Lytechinus pictus: one gene and its partner. The protein of the gene in region 2 interacts with the protein of the main gene of each other region in a pairwise test. Links are inferred from orthologs where the notes say so. Each region holds a gene or a part of one and is shown on either strand. Other genes may lie near its edges.

The links.
Region 1: the proteins of SH3 domain-binding protein 2-like (region 2) and drebrin-like protein A interact in binary tests that used the Homo sapiens proteins (3 or more experiments, as listed by UniProt). The link is inferred for Lytechinus pictus from reciprocal best matches to the Homo sapiens genes SH3BP2 and DBNL.

What each region holds. Positions count from the first base shown.
Region 1 is NC_087256.1:7,117,315-7,127,376, forward strand, and holds the start of drebrin-like protein A, read left to right. Parts: upstream 1-6,065; 5' UTR 6,066-6,238; coding exon 6,239-6,321; intron 6,322-7,801; exon of another isoform or gene 7,802-7,999; intron 8,000-9,429; coding exon 9,430-9,485; intron 9,486-9,816; coding exon 9,817-9,929; intron 9,930-10,062. Other genes in the region: nuclear pore complex protein Nup107-like, read left to right, coding at 27-140, 644-820, 1,759-1,866. UniProt on the Homo sapiens protein: Adapter protein that binds F-actin and DNM1, and thereby plays a role in receptor-mediated endocytosis.
Region 2 is NC_087256.1:8,751,783-8,761,483, reverse strand, and holds the start of SH3 domain-binding protein 2-like, read left to right. Parts: upstream 1-5,956; 5' UTR 5,957-7,128; coding exon 7,129-7,261; intron 7,262-9,701. UniProt on the Homo sapiens protein: Binds differentially to the SH3 domains of certain proteins of signal transduction pathways. Binds to phosphatidylinositols; linking the hemopoietic tyrosine kinase fes to the cytoplasmic membrane in a phosphorylation dependent mechanism.

The DNA of each region.
Region 1 (10,062 bases), about 1.6 Mb from region 2:
TTTGTTTGTTTGATTTTATTTTCTAGATGGAACTAGAGAGATGGGAACAGAGTGTACTAGCACTCACCAGGGGAGTATCCGATACCATGTACAATGTGCTTCTCTTTGTGGATGGGGGATGGATGGTCGACCAGACTTTCGTAAGCATGAACCCTTTTTATGGATTTTACTTCATTTTGCCAAAGGTCACAGATTATCAATTTTATGAAAAACAAAATGTTTCAATTGTTTGCTCTTGAAACTTCAAAGATTAACTAAAAAGCTACCTGTATTTTCTCATTTCCCTTTAGTGGTAATTGATTTGATATTGGACTTATGGTCATTGTCTTCAATTTTCATCTCCTTAAAGGTTCCCTTTTTCAAATGTACATACTGGTTATTTTGCCTAGTTACATATTTTGGGACCACAGAAATATCACTTGGGATAAATTGGAATTAAGGGGTTTTGTGTGTTCACTGTTTTACATCATCTGATTGTTTCAAAATTGCTTTGACTTCGGCTAATATCCGACTTATGGGAGGTTGATTGTACTTTTTTGTATAAAAGGGTAACATTTGTGAAATCTATTCTGATACTTGTTATGGTTGATACATTGAATCAATTGCATGCATTAAAGGATTACTCGTTATTTTTTTTCCTCAGGATGATGATGAGGAAGAAGTTGATGAGGTTCGTGTAAGTCAGATGCAGAGGTTACGAGAGCTGTGCCTGCCGAGGATGTGCCTTCTCCTTCACTCGGTTCTTCATTCCACACACCAGTACAAGGATTGCCTGATACTGGCTGATGTCATCGCATCGGAGCAGCACCAGCTTTATAAGGTCAGTTGAATTTGAATCAGGGGTACGTTTTCATAAGCATATGTACATGTAGTATGCCTAGCAATAGAGTCTTGGAAATCTTTGTTGGAATGCTCCCCAGGGAGAAGAGGAAGGCATACATTGTGTGCGGGCATGCCAGGATCCGATGACCGGGGTAATAATGTATCTGTAAACCGCTTATAGATGCCGTTCCAAATCTGAATAAAGCGCTATATAAAAGCGGATTATTATTATTGTTGTTGTTATTGTTAATATTATTATCATTATTATTATTATTCTGCATTCATGGTTACTTTGCCAATGTGGTATCTAACACATTGGAACGTTTGATTTTGATTGGCGACTTAACTCTGTTACCATGATAGTTGTCATAATGGTAGTTACCACAAATTTCTCAACTATCAGAAAAAACAACCCATGGGCCCATTTCAATAAGGTCTACAGTTATGGTAACTCCCATGGTTAACTTGATTGTGATTGGCTGTTAAGCTCTGTGACTATGGAAGTTGTCATAATGACAAAGTTACCTTGCAAATGTAAGTCCTTTGTGAAGCATGCCCCTGATTGTGATTTTAGACAATGGAGGAAATTGTCTTGAAGTGACTGTGAAATGTTGTTTATATAAAGCACATTAGGGGCCCCTTGCATAAAAGTTACTATTATGATAACATTGCCATCCAATGGTAACTACCATAGTAATGATGATCAACAGCCAATAAAAATCAAGGATTCCATGAATGTTGCCAATGGATGGCAAAGTTACCGTAATAGTTACCGTAATGTCCATTTTAGCTGCATTTGTGATATTATGACCATAATAGCATTTAAAGCGTTTGTCCTAGAGGAGAGAAGAATTTTTGATAGTCGTTATTTGGATAAAGTTAAATGTTTCTCCTCTATTCTTTTTTTTTCTATACATCTATTTTCACCCATTGCAGGTGTTCAGCAAGCCTGAATTGAAACAAGTTCTCTCGCGTCTTAGGGAGTCGTCACTGCAACTCTTAGATCAAAGTCTTGATGCGTTAGGTTATGAAATTGCATCATGATCATATGACCAGACACTAAACCAGACCAGACAATAAAATTCCCAAACTACACTAAGGATGGGACGAATCTTGCCTCACAATAAACTAGGTCACCCAACTCACTCATAAAGTGTAACCAATATGCATCACCAGAGAATTGTAATACAGTCAAAATTTATGTGAAGGCAACACAATTCCCCATTGCTTAATCATTTTGTGTTAGAAGGCCAAGCTCCAATGTATTTATAATATATCAAGAATGAGAGAAGAATACAGGGCCATTCTGATCATTCTGATATCCTTCATTTCATTAAAAAAAAAGGTTTCTTTTATCTACTCTATCTATCTAAATCAGGCCCCTCCCCCCTCAACATTTTTTACGATAAATCTGTAACGCGAAAAGATCACGCCCTAAAGTTTCATGACTTTTTTCCTTCAAGTCTCGTGCAACTTTTTAACTTTCTCGATGCGGGGTTACACCGTTCTGAAGTTACTTAGAATTGTGTAAATGTATGTCAGACCCAATATTAAAAACATGAGTTCATGTACAAATCCAATGCAAATTATGGATGTAGCCAAAATTCATAAATATATCATCATTTTTGTCTCGCCTGCATAGCAGAGCGAGACTGTAGGCGCCGCTTTTCCAACGGCGGCGACGTCGTCAACATTGAAATCTTAACCAAGGTTAAGTTTTTGAAATGTCATCATAACTTAGAAAGTATATGGACCTAGTTCATAAAACTTGGACATAAGGGTAATCAAGTATTACTGAACATCCTGCGGGAGTTTCAGGTCACATGTCCAAGGTCAAAGGTCGTTTAGGGTCAATGAACTTAGACCATGTTGGGGGAATCAATGTAAAAATCTTAACCAAGGTTAAGTTTTTGAAATGTCGTCATAACTTTGAATGTATATGGACCTAGTTCATGAAACTTGGATATAAAGATGATAGTGTATCCCTGAATATCCTGTGCGATTTTCAGGTCATATGACCAAGGTCAAAGGTCATTTAGGGTCAACGAACTTTGATAATGTTGGGGGTATTTGTGGAATTGTCATCATAACTTTAAAATTTGATAGATCTAGTTCATAGAAACTTGGGACATAAGAGTAACCATGTATCCCTGAATATCTTGTGCTTGTTTCAGGTCACATGACCAAAATCAAAGGTCATTTAGGGTCAATGAACTTTGGCCATGTTGGGGGTATTGGTTGAATTGGCATCATCACTTAAAAAGTTTATAGATCTACACAGTTTATGAAACATAGATATAAGGGATATTCAAGTTGTTTTGCACATGTCTGAGGTCATATGATCATGTTCAAAGGTCATGTTGGGTAAATGGACATTGTATTTTATTATCATATGAGTGTTTTCTTTTATGAATAATTATTTGATAGCTGTTTTCAAAGTCAGCACTGCTGGTATATCAAATCGCATAATGCAGGCGAGACTGCCAGAGGCGTTCCACTTGTTATTTGTACTGATTAAAAGTAATTGATTTCATGTTATTTATGACTGAAAAAGTGTTGCCAATAGTTTCCATAAAAACAACAATGAAAACCATAAAGTAAAATAAACAGAGAAATGCATAAGAAATTAAATAAGCAATGAAATACATAAGAAAAAACTTTTTTTTTAAAGTAATCATAAGAAGAGTGTCAAGACCAAAATCTAGCAGTTTCGGGCTATATTTTAAGATTAACAGCCAGTTTATGTTTTAATGCATTAATTAGCATAATTGATTAATTCAATTGACAATTTAATTGTGGAGGTTACATCATAGATGATGTGTGTGACAATTTTTGTCACAATCGCGTGATCAATGGCCGAGATCTGAGGAGGGGGTGTTTTTGCCCCCCCCCCCCCCACTATAAGGGTTAAGTCTTCCAGTAAATAGGTGTTCTTTTTCGAGAAAGGACATGTAATACAGGCTTCACAAAATCTAGAATTTGTACTCTCATTCGAGAGAGCGAAATAGAGTTGTTTATGTTTTATGTATTTTTGAATCCTTCAAAAGGGAAAGTTGTTTGTGTAACAGCGCACATCTTGGTTGCATTATATTGCCTAATGATAATGTGACTTATAAAGCGCCAAATCCTCTCTGTAGAGTGCTCAAGGCGCATAAAGAGCTAAGTGTTAAATAAAAAAGTTTTTTAGAAGATTTTTGAAAGTTTCGACAGAGGTACATTTTTTTATGTCTTCATGAAGGCTATTCCACAAAGTGGGGCATGCAAAAGCAAATGATCTTTCCCCCCAGGTTTTTGAAACTTTTGGAATAACAAGGAAGCCAGAAGTGGATGAGTACAAAGACCTGCTTGGTCTGTAGTAATTGATTAATGAAAGACTATTTTGGTGCTGATCCAAGAATACTATGAAAAGCCTATGGGACAATCTCCATAACATTAGTGTTTTGTACATTCAAATGCTCAATAACTTACATTTCTTGTCCATTTTTTCACAAACCTTCATCAAAATCTTACAGATTTATCTTTTTTTTTACACAACCTAACTTTTTCCAAAATTTTTGTTTTCCATGAATGGTAATATTTTTGTCAATATTCCATATTATTTTTTCTGTTATTTGTGTCAAATACTTAAAGAATCATGACTGTCAAATGTATATTGTATAAAGTGACTTTCTACTCACATTCTTTTGTTAGATGAACCATGTTCCTATGGAAGAAACCACAATGTTATTTTGTAAATATAAGCTGCTGATAAAAATAATGAACAAATCCTGTATTTGTGTTGAGTAAATATTTTGTTGTGGTTGTAAAAAGCCAGAGTCCAGTCTACTCACATTTAGGTACCCGTGGCTGAAATTGACATGCATATATTGGAATAGACCATATTTCTCTTGTTCAATCATGGCACATTCTATATCTATAGGATTGTTTCCAAAAGAGTTAATTGTGTCTCATTATCCTCACTTTTTTTCGGTATATAAAGCATCATCGCATTGGTCAAATCATACCAAGGGTATGCACACTAGTGTGTATTAATCCTATGGTATCAATCAATAAGATTGCGTGTTACATATCATGTGCGTGCATGATTTTAAGTCACATTTAACACTATTTACACCGTAGAGCTAAAAGGCCTTTAATTTTTTCCTGTATCCATGAAATGCTGACTATTTTCAGGGTTAAATTCTTAAAGAAATAGATAAATTCATTCTGTATGCTTATCGTTTGTGAAGATAATCATTGTCAGATTAGGCTGAGACTTTCTCTTTCATTTGCAACTACTTGAAGACACAGAGAGAGAGAGAGAGATCAGCTATGTTAACTTAAACATTTTGACAAAAGCACAGAATGGCCAGCAGAGCAATAGGTCTGTAACATACTTATATAAGATTTGATTTATTACGACCAGAAATCAAAACACATGTTGGCCTATCAATTATTGCCATCCATCGTCTTGCTGGCCATCCTAGCCTATTCATTGATAATTCAAAATGGCTTTGAAAAAAAAGATAACAGAATAAGAAAAACAGCAGAAGCATGCCCTGGGCAATTTGAGAGAGAGAGGTTGGGGGGGGGGGGTTCTCAAAGAATTAGGTAAGAGAGGAAGAGAAAGGAATGGAGAGAGAGAGAGAGAGAACAAGGACATGGAATGCAAAAAAATTGTGGGGTACGTCTCATAATGTTACATCAACAAAACCAAAGGTATTACATTACGGTCTCCCTTGACTCTAGTTTCCCTCAAATTATGCATACATGTACTAATTGAAAAATCCTGTGGGGATGGGGCACTGAGAGAGTGAAACGTTGGAGCAGTAAGCACATGACAAAAAATGTTACTTTATTCTTTTCGCCTATGTTTTGCTAATATAGAAATTGTTAAAATACACAGAACTCTAATTCATGATGCACATCCCCTCCCCTTAGGATTTAGAGGCATATTAAATTCCAATTTCCCCCCCCCCCCCACACACACACACCCCACCCTTCTTGCAATTGTATATTTAACACATTGGCAAGAATAGTGAGCATTTTTTTTGTCCCAGGATATATTCAGTCAAATCAGGAACTTAATTGAAATAATTCTCCCTCATGGCCCCACCCTCCCTCCTTTCCCATTAAGAAATAAACCAAACACGTATCTAGTAGGCCTACATAAAAAAAAGTCCCAAGATAACAAAACTCCCCAAAAAGCAAAACATACCTGTGGACAGAGAAAGGAAACGGTTCGGGGTGGGGGGTAAATGAGCGATGAAGTAGAGAATGGGGGATAGGGAAAAGTGACTGAGGGAGGATGATGAAGAGGTTGAAGTTGATTACTCCCATTCTCCTGCTCGTGTCGACGGCGAGCGCCATCTGCGTGTAAAATATTACAGGATTGAAGGGGGATCGAGCTCGAGGAAGAAGAGAATTTAAATGCAAAATGTCGATAAGTTTTGTAAAACACCGAGATGCTTTGATGCAGGCATACAAAGATGTCTGTGACGACAAAAAACCGACAGACTGGTAAGTATCATTAAATTCAAAGGTAATGAGATATTCGTTTTCCTGTTTGAAAGAGGAACAGGTGTGTGAATTTTCCGATTGCGGAAACGACCGACCAAGACGAGCCAAGCTGGGGCGCTGGCCGTGTCTTTGAGTTAAAACAACGGGGGACTACCCGTGTGAATTAAGCGTCATGACCGGTGGTTGCCAACTTCCGGGTATGCCTGCTCGGCTACTGGTCGAAGTTTGTTGCGAATTATACAATGGCAAATCTCTCATTTTCAAATGTAATACATATGTAGTACTAGTAGCATTATTGTGAAATAAACCACCAGTCCAAACGTTGCTGTAGAGTGTTTATTTCATCAGTTTTCATGATTTTAAACTAGAATAAAGCTGCAGCTAGCCAGCCACTCAACAGTAGAGGCGCACGGCCAATATTGGAGACTGTCTCCAATGTGGGAGATTATCTCCAATATCAGAGACTCTTGTAAAGAATTTGGGTATCCAATTTCAGAGACAGTCTCCAGTTTTGGAGACCAATTTCCTTTGTTTACATTTGCTGCAAAAGGATTACCTTGGCGGCAAATAAAAATGAGATAAACAGATTCCTCATGAAAAATTAGTAATTAGGCCTACCCCTTTTCACCGTCTACTTTTAGTTTAAAAATTCACCGTCTACCTTTGTTTTGATAAGGATTTTTGTTGTCAATCACACACAAAACAAATGGGCTTCTACAATTCTGACCTCAGTGAGACAAAATTTTGGGTGGAAAAAATCATGCTTTTGTTGGTGTTGTTTCTTTTGTCCTTTTGCAAAGCAAGTCTCCAATGTGGGAGATTGTCTCCCCTATTGGAGAGAGTCTCCCATATTGGCCGTGCAACTCTACTGCTCAAACAGTCATCACTGCCGCTCACTGGTTCAGAAAAAAAAGACAGAATCACTTTTTTTTTATCAATTCATAGTCAATCAAAATGAAAGCTCGATGTCCGAGCTGAAATATTTTCCAATATTTTTTCATAATGACTTCAAAACTGGATAGTTTTAGCTCCATTTCACTGCCTATTGAGCAAGATACGTATCTCATCGAACAAAATACAAATTAAGGTGAATAAAACAAACCGTAGTAGAGAAAAAAATTAGATCGAATTTTCGCCCATAGGGCTTCATCAGGAAATGATGAATTTATTAGTCAACACAAGAAACGCAGTGCGCAAAACATCGAACACTGGGTAATGTCATGGCTTGCGAGTGCTAAGAGCGAGCAAATAGGGTATATAGTATTGTAACAAAACTGCCTATTTAGAGTCTGGTAGTAGACTACCTCTGTTATTCTTCTCTCTCTCTCTGTGTCTATCTCTCTCCTACTATCCCCATCTTCCCTATGCACAGTAGTGCAGTCTCTCTGTGTACACTACATGTGTGTATCTTTATGTAAGAGTGCCTTGTGCACTCATGTGTTTAGGGACTCCCCTACACTTACACTTGAAGGAGGGGGTTAGTTAGTTGAAGTTTGGCCCTCGATGGGTGCAGTTGTTGTGTAGCTCTCGTACTGTGAGGAGTGGTTGTAGTTTGGCTCCTGTATTTTTGGTTGTTTCGCCCTAGCTCTGAAGTCAGAAGATAATCGATTGGGAGCAGATATTTGTGTAACCACTGCTCCAGTTTAGTGTAAATAAAGGCCAAGACCAAGACTTGAAGGTAATTTCAAATTGAGTTGATTCTTATTTTATTTCTAATTAAGTTTGTCAGATGACCGAGAGCAGAGATTGTGAAAACGTGAGTAGACTGAGGAATGAGTGCACGTGAGGATGTGTTGAATCGCAATATATTTTTGTGAAAGAACCTGGTGAGCAAAGTTCAAAGGTGATTTCGGATACAGTATAGCCTTGGCCCTTGGGGACATGAAAGATTGTTCTGTTTCCAAGTCATCACTTCACCTTATTTCAGTCACTCGTCTCCCTCTTATTTTCCCTCTTTTTTCTCCTCTCCTTTCCTTTTTCTTTTTTTTTTCTTCCTTTTTTTCTATTTTTCGCACCCCCAATAGAGAGGTGGCACAGCCCCTTCACCCCCCCCCCATGCAGCAGTAGACTCTACAAGCTTTGATTCTTTATAAAAAGATAACAGTGTGAATGAAAGACTCTACAATTAGGAAGACTAGACACTTGATCAACTTAGCGTAATGCTTTACATTGATTTGTGTGTAAAATAGTTTGAGTACCTCATCTTTCCCTTGTATTGTCTTTGATATAAATATAAATTGTGCTCCCTCTATTGGTGAAAATGTTGGTCTGTGATAAATTGCAATGGCTTCACCGCTTCACTCAATGAAAAAAACGAAAAATAATCAAAAAAATTTCACACAAGGATAACGAGGTGGAAAAAGGGGTTCATATTATTTGGTAAAAGAATTAATGTAATGAAATAAATAAGGTAAAATCCTTGATTTTCACACACATGGCTAATGCAATGAACCCACAGGGCCCGGGTGGACTGCTGTTGGTGACACCTCCTATGCATCCAGTAACTTGTAAGAGACGTACGGCTAATAATGTTGGAGACTCCCGGCCAACATGGGAGACAATTTCCAATATTGGAGACTTGCTGTGCAAAAGGATAAAAGAAACAACATTAATGCCAAGGCAGTTATTCCCTACAAAACTTTTGTCTCACTGATATATATATTGAAGATAAATAAACTTGGTGACAGTCTCCCATATCGGCTGTGTGCCTGGCTTTAGTAATGTCATTACAAATTCATGGAAAGACGGCAAGTCTTCGGAAAGAGACAGTGAAAGAAGAGTATTTAATGACAGAGACTCTGTTTCTAGTACTAGCTGCTGTCCATGACCCACATGGGCATATAAAAATAACACAAATTTCATGATTTATTTTTTTAATCTGATTCAGATAATGCATGAAATAATATTCAAATATTTTTATGCAAAGGACTAAAAAAAAATTTTCCTTACAACAAAAACCTTGAAAAGAATGTAAAAGGAATGCATACAGTAATATTCAGGCATGTGCCTTTGTTTTGTCTATCTCAAAATGACGTTGCAGTGGTTTGTTTCTCAAGCTATGACAAGAAAAAATATCTCTATCACAAATCTTGTCTTCCCCCACTGCAGGGTTGTTTTTGGCTATGAAGGAAAATCATACGACTTGAAGGTAGTCGACACAGGAGGTATGTATACATAAACCATTGATGATTTGAAGAGTTTGAATAGCTCTTCCAATTGCAAAAATTAGTATCTTTTCTTTGATATATGCCTTATTTTGCAGCTTTTTTTTATAAAAAATAATTAAATAAATGATTTAACATGAAGATGGAATTGCCAATTTGAATGAGAAAGCAAGGATTTTGATTTTGTTTTTAATGATTGCAATGATGATGATAGATTACCAAACTATGGGTTAAATTTTCCAAGAACACTAGTGCTAGACAGGCCTGATTATAACGATTGTAATCTTGCCAGTTTTGTTTTTGTTTTTGTTTTGTTTCTGTTTCCTTGTAGAGGATGGCATTGAGGAAATGGCGGATTCCTTCAACTGCGCCAAAATACAGTATGCCTTCCTCAGGGTGATAGACACTAACAGCAATCTACCTAAGAATGTACTTATCAATTGGGTGAGTAATATGATATATGTATATTAAAAAGGGGAATTACATAATTCATTTGGAATTCACCTCTTGTATAAATTTAAAGTAAGCCATTATTTTTTCTTGCAGTACTTGGATTAAAAATTCAATATAGAGAGCT
Region 2 (9,701 bases):
ATATGTCAAATTCTCTACAGAACTATAGAGGAATCCGACCTTGGCAATAACATGATCAATGTAAAAGAAATAAATATTAAGAAAGCAGATCAGTGCTAGTTTGAAATAAACAAATCTCACAAGGAATGTGAAAATGAGATCATTAATAAAGACATTATGAATCTCCAATTGGCAGTTTTGTGAATTGATTTTGGTAAGAAGAGCTCTCCCGTTTATTAGGAATTCTTGATATTTTAAGAACCTGAGGGTGATAATCATCATACATGTAGCAATATGTCCCCATAAAGGGGGGGGGGGGACGGGGATCAGTAAACATTGAAAATAAGATCACATAATAGTAGAATGTTGTCTCTACTTCATAGCATCATTACTTTTGTGGCCAATTTGAAAAACTTTTTGTTTGAGTTGGATTACCCCTTTTAGTGTGTTTTCTAAGTTACATCAATCGATGGTTTTCTCTTTTCTCTGTGCAGGTAAGATGCTTATTTCCAGCCGTGAACCAAATTTCTTTGTTAAGGATAGCTCGTGGATGGGATTTCAATAAAGAAGCAAAAGGTATTTTCAAATCATTCTATGCACTCAAGTGAAAATAACATTAATTTTTTGAGCAAATTAATCATCTATTTGCTCTTCAAATAACTTTTATTGTAATATTGATGTAACTGACACTATGTAAGTGGTTTTAAGATTGCAGTATTATCTTTTTTAATGAGCGTCACTATTGTCTTTATGCCAGGATTGGAATGGGCAGTTGGCAATGATGCACTTGTAAGAGCTCAATATATATTATCAATATTGATGTCATCGAAATTTCCCTGAAAATACTTACAACTATATATATTTACTCATCACATTGGTAAATTACCTATTCATGTAATTATTATTCCAACCACCAGGTGATTGTTAATTATGATTAAAAAACAATACACATTAATTTCTACAATTTCTAATGTAAAATAATGACTAATTACTAAAATTAAGGTTATTATTCATTTGGTGTGAGTTCCAATAGTAGATTTTACAATATGAAGTATCCAAACTCACTTTGAAGATAAAATGTGAAACATTTTGATGATTTGCACCCTTCTCCGCCTGGTGGTTGATAAAGATGTTTGATATCTAAAATTAATTTTTATAAATAAAAGAAATTCCAAGCATATTTTAAAGATAAAATCTGAGACATTTTAAATATGCACCATCTCCATCAGGTTGTAGATAGAGATATACGATGTTTAAAGTTAAAGTCATTTTGAAATGTAGGTTTAGTTGTGATAACTAAACAAAAATTGACCCCAAAACTGATTAAAACTAAATATTGACTTCCATGAAAAAAGCCATATATGAGATCATCTGGTAAATTCTAATAATTGTTTCTAGTGACTTTTAGTGAAGCAATTCATATGGTCATGTATTGGACAATGCTTTACCATGGGCATCTATGCCTTCAGTTCCCTTTACAATTGTTCAGTATACAGGCCTAAAGAGAACTGATGCGAGTTACTTTTTAACCTCACCATCATACTCAACTTTGTGTGTATATATTGTTGAAATGAATAACACTATTTATTTTGAAGCTAATAATTTAACAAATTATAATATGAAGTTGTTTTCATCCATATTATTTTAAAGATAAATACCAGTTGTGGTAACGATCTCAAAATGAGTTCGAACAGAATCCAATAAAATTACCACCCAAGTTTTTGTATGTAATAAATAAAAAATATGTGCCAAATAGCTCTCTGGAAGAAAATGCGTAATTACTGAGAAATGAGCAAAATAAGTATGGAATTCCATCAAATGTTTGGTATTTTCCCAAGCAATATTAATACACTGTCCCACACATGCTATTTCTGTGTTGATGAGCATCAGAATTGTCAGTTTTGAGCTAAGATTTCATGATTTCACAAAGATAGGTTTAGATTGATGTACCAGATCTAGATATATGATAATATAGTGACAGTTAACCTTGATTTAAAAAACTTTCTCATGAAATAATTGTTTACTGCAACTACTTTCCTTTTCCTTAAAATGCAGTTAATCAGATTCAAGAATGTTTGATTGGTTACAGGGATGTAGCAGACTGGCATTGGCTGGCTAGGGTCTACATTGTGATTGCCACCTGTACAAGAGCATAAGGTTTCTAAAACCAGAAAGAGTTTTATCAGAGAGAGAGGCGACCACACTATGGCTTGGAAAACGGGTAGGGAGTCGATGATCAGCATCAACTTCCCAACAAGCCTTCACCTACAACCCCTCCAGAGAACGACATCAGAATCGTGTCTACACTCCAGGGAAGGTCTTGAAAACATCAGTAAGTAGATGTCATTAATTTGAATTTAGAGTGTTTTCAAGCAAATTCCTGTGTATTATATTTACATATACATAAAAGTGTGCCCTTACTATGACATCACTCATTTGTGTTTAATATTCTTGAGTGATTAGTTAAGCACAGTGTACTCAAAACCATGCATTAATCACATTGTTCCTCTCTTTCAAAATGATTACAAACTTCATTTACTGTCCCTTTCACGAGGTAAAAAAATTGTAATTTGAATGATGATTCCAGTGAAAAATCAAGCTAATGACGAATTTTTAGCACGTGTAAAACCAAACTAAAATCACGAACGCTATTAATCACAATCATGAATTCAAATTGGTGAATTGTGAATTCCAGTTAAGTTTCACTCAAATTATGGTACAAATTGTATGTGTGAAAGGTCCAATGATTCTAAAGACAAACTGCAGTCATCATTACTATGATGAATCAAGATTCACGTGTGAAAAGGCCCTTGGATACTACAGTTGAACCTGATTCTTCCGTGCTTCAGAATTATTAATTCAGTTAAATATTAATGTAATTTTTCAATTCTCACTCACTGTCCATGCAATCTTGTAGGTTTATTTCCAATTCGTCCAATTGCCAACTCGTCTTCTATCATTTGGTCTACCATCAGTTTGTCCACTCACCACATGGTCTACTTTCATTTAGTCTAATGCCAATCCGTCTAATAACCAGTTGGTCCAATAGCCATTTAGTCCATATACCATTTGGTCTAATTGGACTAGAGTGTTGATTGTGCAATATGAATGAAAATGAAATTAGACCAACTGGTTATTAGACAAAATGGTCGTGGACGAAATGGTGATTAGACAAAGTGGTGATTGGACCAAATGGTTGTTAGAAAAATGTTGGTGGACGGAATGGCATGAGACTAAATGAAAGTAGACCGTGTGGTGAGTGGACGAGTTGGTAGTAGAAGAATGGGCAATTTACCATCTTAATGTCTAAGGAAAAAGCGTTCGACCCCATAGCCATGATCATTGGTGGCACATGAAATTTTGAAATGCACAAATGAAAGAATCATGATTCAAGATTCAAAGCAATATTTTGCTATCATCCAGGAGCTCATTCTTGCAATTTTAGTCAAGTTCTGCTGAATTCTATATTAGGTTTTTGCAAAAAGTAGTGCAAAAATTGACCTTGTGAATATGTATCAACTTCTGAGCACATGTTCCAAGTTGTATTATAGAAGCCTTCTTTGACGTCATTATGAGCATGATTGATTGATTGATTGAGCAAAATCCTAATATGAACAATAATTGATAAGATAAACAAAAACAAATTTTAATCTTCTGATCCTTTCATAAAAGTCTTTTTGCTACAGATCAACAGGAAAAATATGTCTAATTCAACCCATATACCCAAAGATTAAAGCAATACAAACCAGCAGCTTTGTATAGCACCGACTCAAGTCCCCTACTACTCGATACTGGCCATGTTTCTTACCCATAATGCAACATTCTAAGCAGTGCAGTCTTCTTCCCAAATTATTTCCTATTTGGAGACATTCAAAAGTCAAACCATTGCGAATGAAATACATGAAGAGATTTCACACACAGGAATTGCAATAAATTAATTCTTGATATATCAGTCAAAAGTCTTTATTTTATTTACTCTTAAATGTATTATAATCATAACAATAGTAATAGTCATTTATGTAGTGCTATCAATCTAGAAATAATCTTTTTGATGGGCACTATTATCATTACCCTGGAGTATAAGCTCAAGTTGCTGTTTGTAGCACATGTGTATTCAAGGAATCAATCCTGCCAGGTCCCCATTTACCTCACATGGATGCAGCATAATGTGGGTAAATTTCTTTTTTGAAAGAAAACACATCATGGCATGAATTTGATTTTGAACCCACAAACCTTGCATTGAAAGACAAGAGTTAGAACCACTAGACCATGATGCCCTGCCTCCCTCCTAGTTATTTTGATAACTGGCACCGCCCTTTTTAAATATTTGAGCTATAGGGCCAAATTTTAGCAAAATTTACCCATCAGATTCCCACAAAGGAATTTGGTTCCATTCAGTCATACATGTAGGTGATTTCACACCTCCATGACAAGAAAAATACCTGATATCTTGTCAGAGTGAACAACGCTACTTGTACCTGTAGATAATAGATAAATTAGTACATGTATACAGTACCTCTTAAAAAATGAAAATTTTCTCCAAGTTAGCAGTGACAATTTTAAGGTCTAATTCTCAGAATATTTATAGGAAGAATGCACTTTCTTACACACAAATACACATTCCTTGATGTAGTTCCATGAATTGTGAAAACGTCTGGGGTGTGAATCTGTGAAATATATTGTTAAAGCAAAATTTGGGGCGTCAAAGATCTTGTAATGTATTTTCCAGATTGGGAAGGTGTGAAAGTTCTTTATATCTTTTATAATTCGTTCACATACACAATTTAAAACACTGAAATGGTAATGCTAATTTCTATATGTATAAAGAAAAATTATACATCTTCATTTACTGAAACATATTGGAAAGCTGTAAAAAATGCTACAATATACATAGCCATATTCTAAATCAAATTACATGTAGATACCAAATGAATGAGCTATTCCAAAATAATTTAGATTTATTGAAAAATACTAAGCTTTTTTTTGCTTGTCAAATTTTCCTCTGGAAATGTGTCCCCCCCCCCCCCCCCTTTGGCAAATCCTGGATCCGTCCCTGACTGGGATTTTGTATTTTTTCCCAAAACTCATTATGAAGTAAGCCAAATAGCTTTTCCAAAACTTTAATATTGAACACTGACTATAAACATGATACATGATGGAAAGTTATTTAAAAAAAAACACAATAACTAATAATTTGAGCATCAGTCAGTTCAAACTAGAACTTGTCAAAGAAAATGAATGCTCTGATCAATCTTAAATTTATTTGTATTTGACATTGCTTTATTTGAGTTTCGAGATTTTTATCTTAACAGGCTATTATAGAAGCCATAGTTCATGTTTGTACACATAACTATCTTTAAGTTTTAAAAATCATTTTTGCATGTACTGTATATGTAGACTTGATCATAAATTATCGGCCTTTAACTTTACATACATGTACAGGTTGTATGTACAAGTAAAAGATAAAAATTGAATTAGATTTCACTTAGTTTCTATGATGCTAATTAAAGCACTTGTGGTTTTTATGCAGCTCAAATTGTATGTGAGAGATTTTTGTCTCATTTTACAGTTTCATCTTTTGCTTTTTAAGTCATTGCCTCCTGGAAACGGATGGTTGCTGTTCAAAGCATATGGTAATCACAGAATTGTGAAGTCAGTGTGTTAATGAAGATCAATGCACAGAGCTATACTTTCAGTGTTGGGGTCTTCTGTATGCCTGTATCTCAGTTTCTTCCAATTCACATATCATTAATGAGTAATTCTTGATTGGAAAACACTTGACCATATCCTGAATTTGTGACTAATGTATGTCTAATCAAAGTTTTAACGACCTTAATAATATCTAATTCAAAAGATATCAGTGAGGAGGAAGAAAATGATCGCTGGGTTGTTGAAATACAGTATGTAGGTGGGGTTTTCCCACTAGGACAGGTCTCATAAAACCTTGGACCTTGATATCACGATGAAATTTTGAACTGTACTTCCTGTGTATAAATTGGCATTCCTTTTCCATTATACATGCATGCAGCTGGATTATTTTATTCAATGTTCCTGGAGGTGTATTATCTATTAATATTGTATCCCGGTAGTTTATACATGGATGAGTGCAAGTTCATGGAGACCACATGGAAGTAGGGTGATATATCTGTATATCGCCTGTAAAGCAAAGTACCTGTTGAATAGTTTGATATATATTACAAATGGGATGTATTCAAATTTGATTTTTTTGTGAGGAATCGACCTGTGGAAATTCCTTTGTATGGGGATTTTATCTTCTCCCAGTTCATCATGCACCAGAGATGATCTGAGATTGATTGCTGTTAGAACATGTGAAGTTTCATGTGGCAGCTGAAAGAGGCGTAAAAGGTGACACGGGACCTTCCATCGTATCAGGGGTCACAACCGGGTGTTTGCTGGTTTTGATAATTGCTTCAGGTTCACAGTTGATCTGTGTACTGCCGTATGAAGAGGTTAGCACGTTTATGGATATCCTTCTTCTGAGCAATTAGACTGGTTTTGAATACTATGATGGACAATTTTGTTGGATTTTAGTATCTAAGAGTAAGAACAATCTCTGCTCTTACATGTAGATGGAACTTTCTACTCCCTGTAAAACTCATGTTTTGTGTACATTGAAGAAACAGATCAGCTAGTGAACTATTATAGAACAAAATCACTTAGATGTCTCATCAACTTATGTCAAGTGCATCGAGAACAAAGTACTGTCTGTTGTCATGTGACATCATCAGTTTTGCTAATTTCGATCAAGTGATTGACATTTTTTTTCCAACATTGCAAGTTTCAATTCACCTGACTTTATAATAACCAAGATTGGATACTTATTGCGCGATATAATCTCAACTACATGTACTGTAGGAACTGATACCTCTGTATCCAAAGTCCTCCATGGTCTATACTGAAGAGCAAAGACCCTCTAAAAGGCTCTCCAAAGCTTGATAATTTTTAAAACATTTAATATCTCCACAAGTTCTTGAGGATCACATATTTTGCAAGCGGAAGCGAGGATGCATGGAGGTTGGTTTTGTTCTGACTAATAATGGAACTGTTAGATAAATGAAGTGATTTTGTGATGGATCATATTGTCATGTCTTCCTGTCTGCCATGAACCTGGATGGCTGAAGACGGAAAATGGAGCAAGGTTATTATTTAGATCTAGATCCCGATCAAGGGGACGACGTGGAAGATGAACCAAAGTGCGATCCACCCTACGTGAATGCGGAGATCCAAGGATCATCAACGATGGATATACTCAAGAGAACAAGTATGACGCAGTAGTAATATTAGTTTAATAGTAGTAGAAGTAGTAGTAGTAGTAGTAGAAGTAGTAGTAGAAACCTATCTAGTTGTATAAAGTAGATTAAGTAGAGGTAGTGGTAGTGGTAGTAGCAGTAGTAAGTCAAAAAGTGGAAGAAGAAAAGAGTAGTAGAAGAAGAAGTGGTGGTGGTGATACTTGTAGTCACATGTGTAAATACATGATGTACATGATGTCATACTATTCAAGGGGGGGTCAACTATTGTGTCACCCCCCCCCCCCCAGCCCTGAAGAATAGGTTTGCTGCTTGATTATGCCAGTGCTTGTAATGAAGGTGGTGGTATAGTAATGGTTGTAGTATAAGTATTAGTAGAAGTACTAGTAGTAAATATTAGTCCTAGTAGTAGTAATAAAGGTGGTAGGAGTAGTAGATGATCAGACATAGTGGTATAAGAAATAGTCATTATAATAATAATAGGAAGAAGTACGTAGCAGTAGAAGTAGTGCCGTGGTAGCAACAGTGTGTAGAAGAGGCTGGGGGGTGAAGAAGGAGGAGAAGACAAAGGAGGAAGAGGAGAAGAAGAAGTGCAAGAGGAAGAAGACAAAGGAGGAGAAGAAGGAGAAGGTCTAAGCAGAAAGGAGATGAAGGAGGAGGAGGAGAAGAAGAAGGAGGAGGAAATGTAGAAGATAAAGGGAAAGAACAAGGCAGTGGGGGCTGATTAGGAGGAGTATGAGGATTGGGAGTAGAAAAAATAAAAAATTATTAAGAAGAAGCCTAGCAGGGAAAGAGGAAGACAGTAAGGGGTTTGGAGTGGCAGAAGTAATTGTAGAAGTAATAGGCTTTATTGGATAATATTTAGCACAGGCATAGTGGCATACATATATTAAAGACAGAAGCTATCAAGCTTGGTAGAAACCATCAGATCGATTGATCATCCCAACAAACCATACCTGCCACATGGTCCAAAGGGCAATGGCTTTGTTTAATACTGTGCTGTAATTCATTTAATCAATAGATAATCAGACAATTTTGAACTTGCTCTCATGTTTATTTTGTTTCTAAAAGCCATCTTTGTTTTGATTACCAGTGCAAACATTGGGATACACGTAATTTGGCGTGACTCAGATCAATAGTAATTTGTATTTCAAATGACAAGTTTTGAAGAGGTAGTATATGGCGTATGGGGGCTATTTCTAAATACTCTAACCTTTTGAAAATGAGAATCTAATTTTGTGACAGATTGTAACATAAATTCCAGTTAAGGATTTCATAGTTGACAATTTTCTCTTTCATTTCCTTTTTTTTCCTTGTTTCCCTTTATTTTATTTCATTTATTTCTTTTTCTCAGTCATAGAACTTTTGAAGGGATAGGGCAAGTGCCCCAAGCCCTCAACCATCTGTACACCAGTAGATGTGGGTATAGTCAATTTACATGTACAGTGTAGATCCTATTCATGTGCAACTTGATTGTATCATAGCACTGAAGGATGCCAATTTATAGCTACTTAATTATTGTTGAGATAAAAAGCCACAACTCTAATTAAAGCAATGAATATGAGACCAATATTAGTTTAGATATTCTTTTTATTTCCTGAAATCAAACAGTGCACCAACGTTTGGTAAAAGAGGAGAACATTTTTCTTCTCAATTTTTCTTCATCTTTTGATTCAGCTATCCTCTGCAAAAATGAGCAATTTAAGGCAAAAGTCTTATAGCCTAACATTTTGACTTTCAACATCCAAGCTACAAGGTCCGACTGTCGACTGTGATGTTATAAAAATGAAGCCCCCAAAAAAATCTTAGTGGAAAAAAGTGAAATATATAACTGACTGAATACACCATCTTAATTTCATCCCATACACGAACATACTATTAATCTCCAAAGAGGAGGTTTGGTGAAATTTATGATTTTTCAGTCACAGATATCTTGAAAGAGTCTGCTCAAATTTGATTTTTTTTTTCTTCCTGGGTGATTTTTACACCCATATGAGCAGTATCGTAACATGAATCAAATTCAAATTTGTTTAAATACGACCTACATGCCTGCCTTTAAGAGTGGGCTGAGCAGAATGAATCATTTAACAAAACAAGGAGAAGAGAAGAAAGGTAACTATTTTGTTTTTTGGTGAAATCTCAAGCAAAGATCTGAATAGAATAATTAGTGTTCAATATCATAGTGATGCCATGCTTCAAGGAGCTAGAATTTCCTGGTAAATGATTCAGTGAAGTAAAGCACACAGGATGGTTGGCAAATGAGTTTTTAATAGTTTGGAGGAACGATGTAATTGAATCAGGATAGCGTCTATAGATCTCAACATGCGTTGATAGGCTTGATCCATATCCTGTTATGTCTTAGGTCCAATCGTTTGATTACTTCTCTGTAACTTGATGTTTTGCATGCTATAGAGCGATGGAGCAATTGCAAATTGCATGGGTAGATATGATTTG